2 linked regions of the Lepisosteus oculatus genome follow. The protein of the gene in region 1 purifies or fractionates together with the protein of each later gene. This does not show direct contact. Links are inferred from orthologs where the notes say so. Each region holds a gene or a part of one and is shown in the gene's direction. Other genes may lie near its edges.

Evidence for each region.
Region 2: the proteins of lztr1 (region 1) and rit1 purify together in Homo sapiens (affinity purification with mass spectrometry; 3 studies listed by BioGRID and IntAct, counting the BioPlex papers as one, with this or other methods). This does not show direct contact. The link is inferred for Lepisosteus oculatus from reciprocal best matches to the Homo sapiens genes LZTR1 and RIT1.

The regions. Positions count from the first base shown.
Region 1 is NC_090717.1:5,505,647-5,514,715, forward strand, and holds the start of lztr1 (leucine-zipper-like transcriptional regulator 1), read left to right. Parts: upstream 1-5,398; 5' UTR 5,399-5,740; coding exon 5,741-5,910; intron 5,911-6,298; coding exon 6,299-6,361; intron 6,362-6,442; coding exon 6,443-6,499; intron 6,500-6,664; coding exon 6,665-6,744; intron 6,745-7,203; coding exon 7,204-7,312; intron 7,313-8,010; coding exon 8,011-8,094; intron 8,095-8,196; coding exon 8,197-8,254; intron 8,255-8,731; coding exon 8,732-8,871; intron 8,872-9,069. Other genes in the region: cldn26 (putative claudin-24), read right to left, coding at 947-1,597. UniProt on the Homo sapiens protein: Substrate-specific adapter of a BCR (BTB-CUL3-RBX1) E3 ubiquitin-protein ligase complex that mediates ubiquitination of Ras (K-Ras/KRAS, N-Ras/NRAS and H-Ras/HRAS).
Region 2 is NC_090722.1:6,441,863-6,450,973, reverse strand, and holds the start of rit1 (GTP-binding protein Rit1), read left to right. Parts: upstream 1-4,772; 5' UTR 4,773-4,909; intron 4,910-8,280; 5' UTR 8,281-8,379; coding exon 8,380-8,473; intron 8,474-9,111. Other genes in the region: syt11a (synaptotagmin-11a), read left to right, coding at 106-416.

The DNA.
Region 1 (9,069 bases):
GGGGTGTCTTGTTGTTTATTGATTGCTTACTTTACCAAAAGTGCATATTCCTTGTGTTAATTTCTATACAATATTTATTTGTTTTAATAATGTAAATGATTAGACCATGCAAACAAAATGAATGCTTTGTGCAATAAACTGTAATTTGTGAAAATGTTAACAGACATGATTTCTATTAACAATAATGTGTTTATTGTGCAGATAGATTCAAAGTAATTCTACCAAGGAAGACATCATAATTTACCTACAGATACTGTCAAAATACTTTATATATCTCACTAAGCACTTGGCTTACTGAGCTGTACAGAGAAATAATGCAATATTAATTATTGATGTGTGAAATGGACTGTTTATTTTTAAAACAACTCTTACAAGTAGTGCATGTTAAATTTTATATCTATGGCTTTAAAACATTTTAAAGTATAACTATCGTATTTGCATATTGATATTAATGAAATTACATGCTAGATTTCTTTCTTTTTCCTGATTTTTTCATCAAAAATTGCAATTGGTTTTAACAATCATCAAGAATACCCTGAATATGATCAAGAACATCACAGTTACGGTTGATGCACATTCAGAATAAAGTCCTAGTTATCATTTACATATTCCAAGTTACAAAATCTTCAAGGGGAATGTAAAAGAACCAATAGCACAAAATGTATAGATGTTTTAAAACTATGGAAATCCTTCCTGGCACATTTCCAGTAAAAAGAGTTCGGGAGCACCACACTGGAAATTCAACATTTTGGCTGAAATTAATTTCTTAAACCTAACTAGAAATAGTTGTAAAGAATAAAATAAGACTTCCTGACACATCTTAAACAGGTCTGCTTACGTTCTTTTTACTTCCTCTTGATTCCACACACCATTACTTAAATGTTAAGCTAGGTCCCCCTTCCCCTTAAACAGAAATATACGATAAGAGCAGATAATAAAATCCAGACTATAACACCTCTGTCTTTAAGTATTGCGGTTTCTTTTGGGTTGTCATGCTGGATGAGAGCACTTGTGAGTGGATGTTGTTTCTCATGCAGAGCGACACGAACAAGAACGACCCTCCAAGAACAAGAAACAGCCCAGAGAACCATCCTGCAAAAAGAGCCTCCCCAAACTCCCACCGGGGAACGATTTCAGGAACGTTGTCATCCCAGAATTCCACCACAGTCACATAAGCCACCAAGGAGATGGGATAAAGTGTAGTGATCCCCGAAATCCAGGACAGCACCCCTCCAAGGATGAGGAGCTTCTTCTTGACGTGCTCTTTGCCCTCTCCCAGATTTATGCCCTCCAGTCCAAAAAAGGCCACAGAGACACTCAGGAGCCCTGTTCCCATGGAAAAGATCATCAAGACCCTGGAAGCTATGACACCTGAGGGCAGAGACAGAAAGGAGTCAAAGGCTTTGCACTGCAGACCCACTTCGTCTTGGAAAATGCAGGTGTGCCACAGCCCCTCGTACCAGTTCTCCATTTCATTGAGCTCCGCGTTGAGGGTTTTCCAAAGAGGCAGAAAAGTGACCACACAGGTTATGACAAAGCCCACGAAGGAGACAAAAAAAGCCATCCTCTCCACTAGTTTGGAAGTCAACAACACCATTGTCTATCAGTTCAGCTCCAGTCTAGAGAACAGCTTGTGAGCTGCAGCAAGCACAGGCTCTGCAGTGGTAATGACCTGGTAGGGCTCCTAATCAAGTACCTTATAAATGCACCTTATAAATGCTGGGTAATCCCTAAGCTTGAGCATAACAACAGACATACTGTTTTGTAAAAGCGATAAATATCATTATAGGGAACAATGAGCACTGTTTTAGATGAAACCAGATATGTCCAAGAGAGAACGGACGGCAGTGCACACACAAGATGTTTTCAAGGCAAAGGAAACATGATCAAGTAAAGAATGGGGAAACTCAAAGAAAGTTGTGGGGAACGAATTGGTCTAAAACGTCAACATATAGGCTGTAAGTCATTTCATGTAGATCTTGTGTTATGAACTAATACTCATTAAAAAGGTTTAATTAGTGAATTAAATGGTATAATGTGTTTTACAGATTATACTGATAGCTACTGCTGAAGGTTCAGATTACAAGCCTTTCTATTAAACAAAAAACTAACGTCTCAGCTGTCCTCTGGATTAATGGTAAAACCTGATACAAAAACTGTGACGCCAAGTACTCCTGATATTTTTTATATTGTAGTATGCTATTACAGTATGACCTGTAATGTCTCCATTCAGACCACACATTTGCTTTTCGAGCCAAAACTTAGTGCATAATTTTTTGAGGCAAGCTTCCGAAATCAGATACTTTTAAGGATAACTATATCGGCTGCTCATACAATGAAGATTTATTGTACTCATACTATTATTTCGTTCTTCATAATGTCTTCGATTCCCCTCCCTCCCTTCAAAAGAGCGTAATTCTAGGTTTCAATCTTAAACAGCTGGTAAAACACTGTATAGTCTGCCACAATAATAGTCTGTTATCTATGTTCATTGAAACGGTTATACAGGGAAAACGTTGTCTCTAGCTCCCTCGTATGGCTTTTGGGAGTTTCATTTTTGCCCTTTTTTGCAACTATTTAACTTGTGTTTAATTGCTGTTTCTCTTAGTATTAGATTTTCTTGAGACAGACTTTGGGGTGGAACTGGATAATTAATTTCCAAAGGCTAGATGTCTAGATGTCTCCTGAATTTTATCAGATTTGTTGAGAGTACTTCTTCCCATTCTTCTTAAAACAATTAGATGAGTTCATCCATTTTTTGTTACATTTTCAAGGTTATTACTAAAATTATAATAAGGCATATTACTTTAGCCTTGTACTTAAATGGCAAATTTTCAACTGAGGTTATTTAGTGTAACTTTATCTCACTATGATATATGAGGAAACTGAAGCTGCTGAAAGGCACTGACTAGTTTCTGCTCAGAAAGGTCAAAGATTAATCTAGTCGTCTATCTTATTTTAAGCTCTATGATCACTCAGCATGAGGACCATTTTCTCTTAAAATACTTGTTTGCAGATATAAGATCACTTAAGATACGATTACTTTATTGGCCATATGCAATTTCTTGTATTAGGAATTTGTCTTTCCGCATACCCCAACTTGCTCTCCATGAGACACACAGACAGAGAGAGAAGCTTGGGGTCAGGGCGCAGGGTCAGCCATTTATACAGCGCCTGTCAGGTGTGCCAAGGGAAAAGGGTAGGAAAATTGACCCTGTGCGGAGGCAGAGAGAGAAAAAACTGGATTCCTTAGGCGAACGTAATCCAAATCGGGAGGCTAGAGCGAGGACAGAGATCAGGAGCAAGGGGTCAGAAATCCAGGTGATCACAAGAACAACGAGAGGTCGGACTAAGTTGCGAATAGGACGTGTAGCTTTGGCTGAGGAAACCTCAATAGTGAGAGAGGACAAGTTGCAGAGTGGGAGTTTAAGTAGCCAAAGATGAGCGAAGTTGATTAGTAATCGGATGCCCGTGGGAATGCAACGATGTCTGTGTGCGGTTTGTGACAGCACCCCTGAAGCACTTGGGGTTAAAGGCCTCGCTCAGGGGCCCAACGGAGTAGGATTCCTCTACTGGCCGTGGGATTCGAACCAGCAACCTTCCAGCCACAAGCACAGATCCTTAGCCACAGAACCACCGCTTTAATATGTTGGTGATTCAGAGCTTGTTTCCAAAGTCATACTTAATCTTGCACTTTGGGATTTGCTATGAAGTGAAGAAGTTGGTAAGGGGTCTGAGACATAAAAGGTCTAGAGGTCTTGCAGATTGTCATTGTTTATAAAAGGTGTCGGTTTGTTGTTGACTACTGTTCTGCATACTGAGCACATCTTCCTAGCACTTTGACATGCAAACCTATGTACAGAGCGTTCATGATGGCCATGATGGCATCTTATTGTCTAGCCTAATCATGCATTAATGTGCAGATTGCCTAGTTTGGTAATGTGCTTCTAGGCTGTTCTCCAAAATTAGCTTGGCAGTCCTGTGTGTCCAAGCATTCTCCTCTCAAAGATCTCATTCTGCATCATTTCGCATTGCATTGACCACACAACTGACCCTGGGAGTAAGGTTGACCTAATAGCACAACATTTTATCAATGTCAGTTAAGACCAACCGCTCTGCCCCTCCATCATTCAAACACGATTTGAGCATCCTTATTTTCATTCATTATTATCAAGTTTTGGTTTGGTTCTTTTTGGTAAATATACTTACTTAATTTTTTTTTTTGGAAAACTATCTTGACATGATCTGCTTAAGTTTTTTATCTCTCCTACCACTGATATTCCCGTGTGAGTGCCTCGTTTCATCCTTGCACACTGTGGTGAGGGGAGTGCTTCCCGGGTTAGACAGCACTAATCTAATTATGCATGTGCAGAACTAGATCGCCTATACTCTTTGAACTCAGGATAAAGATAATGCTGTGCTTCACTCACAAGTTTCTGAGGTTTTCTCTGTGGGAATTACGCTCCTGTCACACTGATCCATGCATGACAAGAAAAAAGCAAAAGCATGACAGCAAAAAACAGATCGGTAACACTATAAACATATTTGCAAAAAAAAATGTATTTACCATCCTGAATAACAAAACAACCATGCGGTGTCAATGCTTTAGAATAGGCAAAAAAGTGTAAGGGGATTGTTCATATCTAAATGGTGGTTTCACATTTTTTTCATTTTTTTTCTTTTGAGTAATTGATTTGCTCTGCCTGTTTATACCGTCTGTGCAATAAGAGCGTCCTTATCTTATAGCGGGAATAAGTACTTGTAACAAAATTATGACTATTACAAGAGGCTCATTATCTTTCCTGTCAATCGTCAGTAACAGTGACTGATACTGGAAGAGAGTTGATTCGTAAAAGATGACTCTTAAAATGACTCTACAGCCTTCATCTGTTCGCTATCTATTTGCCTTCAATGCAAATAGCAATTCTTCAGAGAAACAAATAATTAAGTCTAAATTTAATTTTAAACACATCACACTGAAAATGGTGGATACGTTTTAGCTTCAGCTGTTTTTCTGAAAAAAAAAACAGTATTTTACAGATGGGAGTTGTTTTACTTTTCTACGTATCAACTAGATTTAATGTTTATGTATTCAGCGTTCGATCATTAAACGAAAGCAACCTAATACATTAAGCTCTTCAAGTAGCATCTTCCCTGCAAAAGTAACACGTAAGATGCTACTTGAAGTTTATCAATGACAATTACATGCCTTCTCCGAATTCGACTTGCTCCCAGTGTGCATTGGACTTTGCCAGCTAACCGAATTGATTTCTGGGGTTTGTTGTCGTTTATTGTTTAGTCTACGCATCAATTGCAAATGGAACTTGAGACACATAAACTACAATACCCAGGGATCTCTTTTTCGCAAGAGGTGTGGCGTGGTAGTGTAATGGCTGTTTATTTGGTGTGTGTTGCGTGTTTTTCTTTTCTGCTACATTTGTAACGTTTTTTCCAGTAAAATAATGTAGCGTTTGCTACATTGTTCCGAAGGACTTGCTTCGTTTTTGTATTTACTTTTACCAGTCAAACAAGTTACATTCGTCTTGATTTTCTACTTAAAGTCAGCTTTAATTTTTTTTTTTTGCTTTTTGGTGCAGTGGTGCATCGCAGAAACCACTGTGTCTTGTAGACGTGGTCCCTAAAACTACGTTTATGAAGGGACCTTCGCTAGCACGACAGTAAATCCGTTTTTAATACTGGGGTTTCATTGACTGACCGTGTCGTGTTATGCGGCGGTTGAATGTCATGGTTTCCGGGAACAATGTCTTGCAAGTCTAAAGTCGCCCCGAGTGTTGATTTTGACCACAGCTGCTCGGACAGTGTCGAATACCTGACCCTGAACTTTGGGCCGATTGAGACCGTCCATCGCTGGAGGAGACTCCCACCCTGTGATGAGTTTGTGGGTGCTAGGTAAAACAAAATACAACTTTCTGTAAATCCTGTAGGTGCAGATCTTATTAAATGTCTAACGGTGCGGTTGCACTCTCACGCAGACCTCACAGAGATATGTTCGTAAAAAAAAATGTTTTTTTTAAGTATGGAGATTTGCTTTTGAACTGCAAAACCGTCATGTGCATGTGATTTCCGAAAGCTTCGCGAGTCTTGTTTTACACGGATTTTGATATGTGCATTATGATGTCAGTGGTGTATTTGAACGTACAGTGCTGTAAGATTTTTAAATTATATTCAGAGCTCATATCAGTTTTCTTTACTACATTTTACTGCAATGCTGCACCGCGTCTTAACTGAGTACAGTACCGTGTAATCATTCCGGGCTTTCGCTTCTGAATTTTGACAGGCGCAGTAAGCACACAGTTGTGGCCTACAAGGATGCAATTTACGTGTTCGGAGGAGACAATGGGTGGGTGATATTTAATGTGTCGTAATTTTAGCATGCGACTTGGGTGAAAGCAAGTATGAACATTTGTTTCGTTCCCAACAGAAAGAACATGCTGAATGATCTGTTGCGGTTTGATGTCAAGGACTGCTCCTGGTGCAGGTAATCCCTGCTTCTCCATTCCAGGAGAATGCGTTTATACACCGTTTATGTCAACAGATAACTTTTTTTCCCCCCTCCACGATGAACTTTATGACCCATTTTATTTTAAAGTGGCTTTTGGGTCTGCATCTTGGTTTGGTCATTTGTTTTTCTTCTTCTTGCCAGGGCTTTTACGACTGGTTCACCCCCTGCTCCCAGATATCACCATTCAGCTGTAGTACATGGAAGCAGCATGTTTGTTTTTGGTGAGGCAGCTTACCCCTCTATCACAGTTTATATGTTCATGATGCAGTATTGACGAGGCATAATTAAGGCAAAATGTGTTTCATGGGGGATTTAGTGGCACAGTGAGATCAGTTATGGACCTGGGAGGGCTGTCTGCATGATGTTTGTCTGTTCTGTCCCATGTTTGTGTGGGTTTCCTTCCACAATCCAGCAACATACTGGTAGGCTAATTGGCTTCTGAGGAAACTGGCCCCAAATGCGAGAGTCTTTCTGTCCTGCGATGTCTGTGTCCAGGGTGTCCCCTGCCTTGCTCCTGCTTGCCAGCATTATTGGAAGCAGTTAGAAGATGGATATTTGTTTCATTATTATGGTTGTTAAACAAAAAGCGTTTCCATGTCACACGGCTGTCTTATTAATAAACGTATTTGCCTTTTCTTCTGGTGCTGGTGATGCGTAACCGTACGGTCTCAAATTTCCAGGTGGCTACACTGGGGACATCTACTCCAACTCCAACCTGAAGAATAAAAATGATCTTTTTGAGTACAAGTTTGCTACAGGCCAGTGGACGGAATGGAAGGTAGAGGGAAGGTACAGTAGTACATCAGTTCAAAACTGTTATAAATGGAGCTCAAAATGAGCGTTTGGGAGGGAAGACAACATCGAAGGTCTGTCAACCTCAGCTGTACATCATTTGTAGTCAAACCTGACATCATTTTCTTTCATAAAGACTATAACTATTAGATGTAACCTGTTACTCTGCTTTGCAAACGTTTTTACATCCCCTCTCCACTGCATCTCCACCTGTGTTGCTGCCCCTTGGGGCCCCACTCCTCACTCTGCAAGGGGTTCCAGCTTCCTTGTGGCCAGGAGGTCAGCAAGCCAGGTTAAGCCGAATTGTGATGAAGACACTCTGGAGATGTTTCACACACTTAATTCCTGGGTGTTGTTGTTCCTCGTGAATGTATTTTCCGTGCAGTGTTATCAATCATTGTTCTGTTGATGTGTGTTCCCTCAAAGCCAGCTTTTTTTCTTTACATCAGCATAGCATTAAGGCATTCAGAGTTAGATACAAGAATGAAGTAATTGTTACCTTTAATGAGGCATGTAATTCTTGGCCAGATCAAAAAATCATCTTCATAAGAGAGAAAAACAATCGGGTTTTCATACATTGATTTAAGAAAGTAAACTAGTCATGCATTTTTATTTTGCCTTGCATAGAAGCTGAAGAGAGCATAATTCTGTTGTGTTTCTGAAACAGTATCACCTCTCTGGTTTCCTTTCTGCAGGTTGCCTGTTGCCAGATCAGCTCACGGAGCAACAGTGTACAGTGATAAACTCTGGATTTTTGCTGGGTATGATGGTAATGCAAGGTAAATAATTTTCATCTTGTCTTAGACCATTCGCGATAATTCTGTTTATAATATCTTTGTTTTTTTAAGGCATACACTAATTTATTTCTTGTAATACTCCAGGCTAAGTGACATGTGGACGATCAGCCTTCAGGACCGTGAGCAAGCATGCTGGGAAGAGGTTAGTTTGACATAAAGTGCTATTTTTTGTCCAATAATGTGTACAAAAATAAAGTGAAAGTGTAGATTTTGTTCATTACGGTAAAATGCCAGCGATTTAAGAGGAAACAATAAAACTGTTCATTCTATTGACTCTCTTGGCTCCGTTAAAGATTTTGTAAACTTTTTTTGTTATCCCTTTCTTAAATAGATGTGCAAAAGTGCTCTTTTAATTAGTTCAAGCAATTCCTTGTTTGTCTGGAGGAAAAATAATTCTGAAGCTTTTCTTCACATGGATCCAAGGGACAGTCCTGTTGTCAAAGTGTTTTAAGTCACTGTCATTTTTGTCCTCTGCCAGTCAGTGCACAGGACTTTGTTCTTGTCTGCTGTTGATTTATGACTTGCATATGCAGCAAAAGGGCCCAGACTTGCTCTTTCTTGAAATGTCTTGCATAAACAGGTATTCTGTGAAAATTCTAAAAAATTCTTGTTTTTCCAGATTGAGCAGAGTGGAGAGATTCCCCCCTCATGCTGCAACTTTCCTGTGGCGGTGTGCCGGGACAAGATGTTCGTTTTCTCTGGTCAGAGTGGAGCGAAGATCACTAACAACCTGTTTCAGTTTGAATTCAAGGACAAAGTGTAAGTTAGAAATCCTCAATAAGCATAAGTGCTGGCCTTAAAGAAGCTACCTCAATATCTTTTAACATTCAGTGTTCATAATTCATTCTTTTCATTGAGCAAAAAATCATCTTACCTCTGACATTTCCAGTGCTTCTTTACCTACTGGTAACAAGTCAGTATTTCCTTTGTACAGCTGATACAGAAGATTTTCTAAAA
Region 2 (9,111 bases), on another chromosome or scaffold:
ACCATGAAGTTTTTGAACAATTCTCACTCTCTCCTTCCTCTCCCTGTTTCTCCGTCACTCTCTCCCCCCTCTCTCTCTCTCTCTCTGTCCCCCCTCTCCGCCCAGACCCCTACGTCAAGGTCAATGTCTTCTACGGCCGCAAGCGCATCGCCAAGAAGAAGACTCACGTCAAGAAGTGCACGCTCAACCCCGTCTTCAACGAGTCCTTCATCTACGACATCCCGGCCGAGCTGCTGCCGGACATCTCCCTGGAGTTCCTGGTCATCGACTTCGACCGCACCACCAAGAACGAGGTGGTGGGCCGCGTGGTGCTGGGGGCACACAGCCCCTGCCCCTCTGGCGCCACCCACTGGCGGGAGGTCTACGACAACCCCCGGCGGCAGGTCGCCAAGTGGCACAGCCTCAGCGAGTACTAGGGGCCCCAGGGATGGTGGGGGGGCGGGGGGGGGGGGGGGGGGGTGAGTGGGGGAAGGGAGGTCGAGGGAAGGACAGAAAGAGGTGCGCCCTCTGGTGGCCGAAAGCAGCAACTACAACGACGATAACCAAGATGGCTGCCTGTTTCCTTGCCCAGAGCCTGAGGCCCTTGACTTGTACAGCGAGCAGCTGGCTAAGAGGAGAAACAGAGATGCGAATAGGAATTCAACCGCAGGTCTGGGGAGCGGGAGGGAGCCCGCCAAAATTCTGAAACCACAACAGGGTGGGAGGGAAAAACTGAAAGTTCACCGAGGAAAAGGCAAACGCGCTGGAGGGGGGCGTCTCCAACCCTGGACTGGCACACCTCGGAACCGCCGATCGGCTGCTCTTCCCCAAGCAGGACGAGAGCGCCCCCCTGCGCCCCAGCTCGGACCCCCTCCTCGCCCCGCTCCCTTCTCGGGTTTACTGCATGCCTGAGCAGAGCCCGAGTCACAGACTGCACAGCGAGAGGGAAGGAGGAGCACCCGGAGGACGGACGGACCCCCCAGGGCACCAGGGGGGAGGAGGGGGGTTCAGGGGGCGTGGGGGGGTGAGGTGTATATACGGATTGGGAACCCTGACCCAGCTTGGTTTTTTTGTAAACGTTCTGCATCACCCCTCCCCTCCGCCCACCCCACCTATCAGCCACTAGCTCCTTTAAATCAGGAGGGGGGTCCCCCCTCGCGCAGGGTCGGGGTCACAGTCCAGCAGGGCCCTTGAGGGGTCTCACTCACCCATCAACAGGACAGGAAGCTGCTCTGACAGCGGGTCAGGAAACTCCAGATGAGGGCCGGATCTCTTCGGTGGTTCCCCAGCTGCTGGTGAAGTAGAACTAGCACCCCCCTGTTGGACTGGGGCCCCTGGGGGACCCTAGTTAGGTTAGGGCCCCCCGATTCAGAGGTTAGTTCTACACTATGTGCTCTTTTTTTTAAAGAAATAATTTGGAGTGCTATATACAGTTGTCCGTTTGCATTATACATTAACCAGAGAGATTTACAGGATAGTTAGAAATAACAGTGCATGTGTCCGTGAGGGAATCTTTGACCTATAGGTGTCCCCAGCTTGGTCTTCACACCTTTGCAAATATTGAGCCATAAGTGATGCTGCCGAGTGGAGGCAGACAGCAGTGCCGTTTCTCCAGAAACACAGACACAGGCACTGTGTCGGGGTGGGAATATTACTGCACTGTCACAATGTCACAGAGCTGTTTTTGTTTAAAATAATATATATATAGGAAATTATTTGCAAAGAGATAATGTCCGTCTTGTTGTTCACCAATGTTAAAGTTACTGTACGTTAAATGTTCCTGTTGTCATGCAAAGAAGAATTTTGGCAGAGGAGAGTCTGTCTGCTTGAGCAGTTAAAGAGCCGGGTCACACTGTAACCCTACAGTCCAGAGATCACTGGTCCAGTCTGGGTCACACTGTAACCCTACAGTCCAGAGATCACTGATCCAGTCTGGGTCACACTGTAACCCTACAGTCCAGAGATCACTGGTCCAGTCTGGGCCGGGTCACACTGTAACCCTACAGTCCAGAGATCACTGGTCCAGTCTGGGTCACACTGTTACCCTACAGTACAGAGATCACTGGTCCAGTCTGGGCCGGGTAACACTGTAACCCTACAGTCCAGAGATCACTGGTCCAGTCTGGGTCACACTGTAACCCTACAGTCCAGAGATCACTGGTCCAGTCTGGGCCAGGTCACACTGTAACCCCACAGTCCAGAGATCACTGGTCCAGTCTGGGCCGGGTCACACTGTAACCCTACAGTCCAGAGGTCACTGGTCCAGTCTGGGCCAGGTCACACTGTAACCCTACAGTCCAGAGGTCACCGGTCCAGTCTGGACGAGTGAGAGAGCCCTGTGTACGTGGGCATTTCTTTCCTCTCCAGAGAGTCCAGCGTGCTCTGGGAAGGCAGTAGAGGTGTTTGTGCTGCCCTTCAGTCATTTACAGTGCATCGATTTAAAGCGATATCCGTTTACAAGGGGGTCAGACGCTGGGGGTTGGGGGGTAGAGTTGTTTGTACTGCCCTCTTGAAAAGCTGGGCAAGTTGTACATACTGTAATATAGGAGGCTGAAACCCAGCTACTGTTACCAAAAAAATGGTCTGTAATGCCAGAACTGCGTCCCAATGAAGAAGATACAGATCCTCTGTCTCCTAGGTCCAGTGTATATAGAAAAAGAACATTCCTTTCTAATGATCACAGTGATGCCGTCATTCCAATTAAAGTTGGCCTGTAGGGGGCGTGCTCTGGTCGGCAGGCGGGATTCGGGCTTGAGGCAGGCCAGCACCGGTTCTGTCTGGGGCTGTCGGAACGTTTCAGGGTTCCAGGGAATCCGAGGGCACGGCACTGGCACACCCCGAAGAGCAGGGTCACCTCGGCGCGTCTTTTCTCCCTCACAAGAGCACTCTGGTGTATCGGCGCACTCAGACTCTCCTCGGGGTTCAGCTCAGAGAGAGGAGGGCGGTAGGCAAGAGCGCCGTCCCCCATCGCCTCGTTCTTTTAAAATGCAGAATCGCTAGTTGCTGATCTATATCCCCCCCCGATTTGGGAAGCGCCGTGTCTCAGCTCGCAGCTACGAACCCTGTGTCTGCACACGGGAGAGAGTGAAGAAGTGCAGGCAGGCACCTCCCACCCACCTGCCCCCCAGCCAATCGTCTTTTAACACGTCCCAGGCAGTACCGCCCCCCAGTCAAGGTGCCAGCTCTGATTGGAGGACAGACATGTCCTTCACTGACAGCACTTGCTTGCAAATTCCCACCAGGCCACAGGGGGCACTGTGTCACCAAGAGGCTGACTGATCTCTCCCTGCCCTCATTCATTCCGCTACGTGGGGAATTCTGGCCTGGGGCTCCTCCCATCGCCGGCATTACCCTCAGAGCTTTCTTCCACAAGATATCCATTCAGGAAGATATCAGCCGCCACCACCCATCACGCTCAAACCCCTGTCCAGCTCCAGCTGAGTGGGCTCTCTCTTTCGTTTCCTGTGGGATGCAGAGAGCCCACACTTTCCCCTTCAACTCCCTTTCATTCCTGTTAGGAAGGGGGAAAAGAGGAGGAGATCGGCTCCCAGGAACGGGGGTGGGGGGCGTTTTCATGTTTCACTTTCTTATCTCTTGTTTGGGAGGGGGGACAGGAGGCCCGTCCCCCCCACCCCACCCCACCCCTCGGGAAACGTCACTCCCGTCTGCTCGCTTGTACAGCTGAACAAACTGAAACACAGAACTGGGAAAACTGGAGAACGGAAAATGACTTAAATAACTCCATATCAATGATAATTCCAAGTAAATAACTTCTATGTGGAAATAAATGATAAAAACGTAACCTGAACTGTGTTTAAACTTGCATAATGCCATAAAGTCTATGCTGATATATTACACTAATGCTAACTGTATGTTGAATTTGTTAAAACACATTGTGCAAATAAAGACTGATACACCCAGAGCCCTGCAGTGTCACTGCTTTCTCCTTGACGAGCCCAGATGTGCGTCCTGCCCTGCAAACAGCTGGAGCTGTCCCTAACCCTAACGCCCACAATACTTAGTGACACACTAATGCCTCAATATTAAGTAACATGCTGACACCCCAATATTTAGTGACACGTTAACCCCCCCTTTAGACTAAGGTGAAGGGTGACCATCTTCCCTCTCAGAAGACCTGCTCGTCAGCACTGTGACTCCTCCTCTCTCTCAGCACCTGCATTTAAAACCGACGACAGGAGGCACTTTACCCAGAGGGTGGTGAGGGTGGCACCAGCTGCCCGGCCATGGTGTTGAAGCCGATACCCCAGATCCTTCGAGACACAGCCGGATGACATCCTGGGATTAATGAACTACTGAGCAACCAAACTGGCCAAGTGGCTCCCCTAGGCTGTAACCTTTCTGATGTTCCAGGGACAAGCACACAGGCAGGTAGACAGACAGACAAGCCTGTATTGACAGACTGAGATAAACACAGAGACCGATAGATAAGGTTGTAATAACAGGCTGAGACTGAGAAACAAACAGGAATGGAGAGACAGACAGATAGACAAGCATGGATTGACAGAGTTACACAGATAAACACAGACAGATAGACAAGCATGGATCGTCAGGCTGAGACAGACACACACAGACACACAGCTCCCCCAGTTTGGAAACCCCTCCCACGCCCGCTCTCCTGCAAACGACAGACACCAAGCGGCTCCCCAGCCGGGCGAGCCCCGGAGCCGCCGATGACGGATTTCGAGTCAGCCCCGATCTGGGGCCTCCCTTTCCGGGGTTGCAGAACCGGGCGGGCGCTAAGACCCGGAACATGCTCTGCCCATCTCTCTCTCTGTGTGTTTACTGCTTGGGGCTCCCTGTGCCTGGAGTGTCGCGGTCGACTTGCTTTTCTGGAAACACGACAGTAATTACCAATTAAGAAACAGCTCACAGAGATCAGGAGCATGAGGCAGAGGGATCAGTAGTCCGGGTAAGAGTTTACGGATTTGGCATGCACACGTTTTTAAAAGAAACCTTGCTGTAGCCCGGGCTACAAGAAAGTTTCACTGAACCTCCCTTCTCACAGTTGACGCGGGAGAGAGCTGCGACAAACTTCGCGCATCTGAACAACCTACATGTTTTTGTAGGGTAGATCTTAACATCTTTGTATTGCGATTAATGTGCCATCAGAGAACGGTAAACGACCGCGGTTACGCGTTTTTTTTTAATGTTCTTGTAAACTGTTGGTAGTTCCTCGATGAAGTTTTCACAGTTCTCCTTAAAAGGTTAGATTTGTCTTTGAAACTAAAAAAAAACCAACTCATCGGTTTCTGTCAGTTGACGTCAAGAGTAACCGATACGAAGTGGTATTGTGCCCAATATCTTATAACAAAATGGGATCTTTAAATATACAGCTAAACACGAAATAGTTCCGAGAACGTGCGAACACGCAATGACGTGTCGTATTTAAACCATCCCCTTTTCTAAACAAAAAAAACCGTCTGTAAGTAATTTAAATCGTAAGTTTTCAATACAGTTCACCAAAACACCTCGGATGTTTTCAATAATTAAACAGTTTGCTGAAAATAAATGTGGTTTCTCGTTGTTTTGTAAAACATACACGGATTGTCTTTGAATTTAAAGGTATTTTTCTGGCTTTACTACACTCGGCGTTTTTCTTTAGTGTTGTGAGAACAGAAACCGCTTTTCAACTTCGAAAATAACTGTGGTAACTCGCTTCTGTGCAGCCATTCTGTCGACCCTTTACTGTTGTTCAAATGTATTTTAACAGTGCGGGTGAGACCGGTTATTTTCGTCAGCTCGAAATAAACTGTACATATTTATAGTTTAGCGTGAAAAGACAAAAGGAAGTAAAACTGCCAATTCCACATCATGAGCACATTTGTTAAATCGTGTGACTAATCTATAAATGATGTATGAAGGCCTAACGCTTGTCCCAAGCCTCGGGAATTTCCTAGGTCTAAAGTCCGAAGCGTGGTTCTTTAGCGATGGTAAAATTGGAGAACATCCGCCGGGCGAAGGGAGCATTCCAGTTTTTCCTCCCCTCACCCAGAACGTAACATAACACAGACAACTGCTGTTAAATTTAAAATCAGCAACTAAATGACACGGAACCTGATTAATTAGTTATGGTAAAGACGGTACGGTAGATGCATTTTTTATTGGAACAGGCTTGTGAGGAATCATAAAGGAGAGACGTAATACCAAAGTGACGCAGTATGTAAATCTTTCGCCTTATGCTTTATAAGCAAATCAGGCAGAGTACATTCAGGAACATGGTTACCTGCTTCTCACAGGGTACCTGTCGGACAGGTGTTGCATTAGCCAGTTACCAGAGGAAGCTTTCAGCTCATCTGCTTCTGCTCCATCTGCTTGGGTGCTCAGTAGCAAATCGGTCCCAAGATTTCGTCCGGCTGTTCCTTGAACAAAGCCTTGATATGGGCTGTGACAACATGGCTGAACAGCCTGTTCCAGACCCCCGCTGCTCTTTGAGTACAGTAGTACCTCCCGTCCTGATTAGAGGGGACCTCGTCCAGCTGTTCCTTGAACAAAGCCTTGATATGGGCTGTGACAACATGGCTGAACAGCCTGTTCCAGACCCCCGCTGCTCTTTGAGTACAGTAGTACCTCCCGTCCTGATTAGAGGGGACCTCGTCCAGCTGTTCCTTGAACAAAGCCTTGATATGGGCTGTGACAACATGGCTGAACAGCCTGTTCCAGACCCCCGCTACTCTTTGAGTACAGTAGTACCTCCCGTCCTGATTAGAGGGGACCTCGTCCAGCTGTTCCTTGGACAAAGCCTGGGTTCTGCCTGGGCAGCCTGTTCCAGAGCTCACTTGCTGTATTCTTCTCTAATGAATTCTATGGTAGAGGCTGTGGGTGTAAGCTTTTCCCAAGTCCAACAGCGGCGCTGGGAAGCGTTGTACGGTTTCTTCATGGCCGATCTGATGCCAGCACTCTGTGACCTCTAATAGCAAGATCCAGGAATGGGGAAGTTTTGTCAAACGCGTGATCGTGTGTGCTTGCACGAGGCACACGCGTGTGTCCGTCTGTGTGTGTCCGCACTGTCCCGTCATGCGCTGCCCACGACACCGTGCACGCACACACCCCTCGCTGGCCGCTGCGAGGTCACATGCCCTCCCCCCCCGTGTGCGTGCTGCTGCTAAAATTAAACACTTCCTCCTCCGGGCAGGGCGGCGAGTGGGGCTTGTGGTTCTGACACATCTGCTGGTGTTGAGTGGTGGGCCTTCTGAGTCAGCGCTGTCCTCGCTGACGGGGAGAGGGCAGAAAGCCGACGGGGGTCGTCAGTAATTATAATACTTCCTTACTCTTATCTAGTGCTTTTCTGATTGCTCCACTCCAAGCGCTTTACAGGTAATGGGGTCCCCTCCACCACCACCAGTGTGTGGCCCCACCTGGATGATGCACCAGTACACTCCACACACAGCAGCTCTCAGTGGGGAGGAGAGCAGAGTGATGGAGCCAGTTCAGAGAGGGGGATTAGTAGGAGGCCATGACTGGTAAGGGGCAGAGGAAAATTTGGCCAAGACACCAGGATAACATCGCTACTCTTTTCGAGAAACACCCTGGGATTTTTAATAACCACAGAGAGTCTGGACCACTGTTTTATGGTTCTTATCAGAAGAACAGCACCTTTATTACAGTATAGTGTCCCCGTCACTGTACTGGGGCATTAGGACCCACACAGACTGCAGGTTGAGCGCCTCCTACTGGTCCCACTAACACCTCTTCCAGCAGCAACCTCAGTTTTCCCAGGAGTCTCCCCTCCAGAGATGGATGCTGAGCGTCAGTGGGCTGCCAGCTGGGAGTTGCAGGGTGATATGGCTGCTAGTTGGCTCATCAGCGAACACACATCGCCTGTGGCAGGAGCGGTGTTTGTTTGTGGCTGCTCCTTTTTAGAGCTCGGTGTTGTGCAACAGTTGACGTCGCCTCTGCTCGCGCTGCGCCCATCTCTCTCCTCCCGCTGTCTCAGCCACCGTCTTCATCCCCCTCCCTGCTCCTCCTCTTCCTCCAATCTCTCTGTGCCCCCCTGAGTCTGGGGGTGGACCCTGCCTCTCTGGTCTGATTCCATTTTGTTCCCCCCCCCCAAACGTGGTGACCCCACACTGTGCCCAAGGAAGAGTTTGACACTCTTCCTTGTACCTGCACGCCATTTTTCAATGCGCCGCCCCCTGAAATCCATTCTGTGCTTTGACTCAATGTCCCGATTTTCTTCTGCTGCTTCCCCAGCTCCGAAACGTCTCCGAGTTGCCTCTTCCTGCTCGGTCCTGCGTGTATCGGGAGCCTCCCTGGTGTTCAGTGCTCACTGCCTCTCTCCAGGTGCAGGGTGTGCTCGCCGCTCCACGCTTGCCGGGCTGCGTTGCCGTGGGCCTGCTGCTGACCGGTGACGCTCCCTGTCCAGGCTGCAGGGGCGTGGCGATGGAGTCGGGCCGGACCCCGGGGGGCGCCGCGGGGGGGCCGTCCCGCGAGTACAAGCTGGTGATGCTGGGAGAGGGAGGCGTGGGTAAAAGTGGTGAGTACTGGGAGTGCTTTCTCTCCGTCTCTGTCCGGAGTGCTCTCGCACTCTCCCCTCACTCCGGCGCGTGAAGCCAGCAGAATTCTCTCATTCTCTTTTACTCTCCCTTACTCCCTGTCTGCCTCCACCTACTCCCTGTCTCTCTGTCTCTGTCTCTCTCTCTCTCCTGCTCTGGTCCTGTCTTCTTATCCTGTTACCTGTCTCTCTCTCTGTCTCCTGCTCTCCTCCTGTCTCCTTATCCTGTGTTCCCTGTCTCTCTCTCTCTGCGTCTCCTGCTCTGCTCCTGTCTCCTTATCCTGTTACCCGTCTCTCTCTCTCTGCGTCTCCTGCTCTGCTCCTGTCTCCTTATCCTCTGTGTTCCCTGTCTCTCTCTCTTCGTCTCCTGCTCTGCTCCTGTCTCCTTATCCTCTGTGTTCCCTGTCTCTCTCTTCGTCTCCTGCTCTGCTCCTGTCTCCTTATCCTGTGTTACCTGTCTCTCTCTGCGTCTCCTTATCCTCTGTGTTCCCTGTCTCTCTCTCTGTCTCCTGCTCTGCTCCTGTCTCCTTATCCTGTGTTACCTGTCTCTCTCTCTCTCTCTCTCTGCGTCTCCTTATCCTCTGTGTTCCCTGGGTTGACCAGTCAGGTAATTCCGTGAC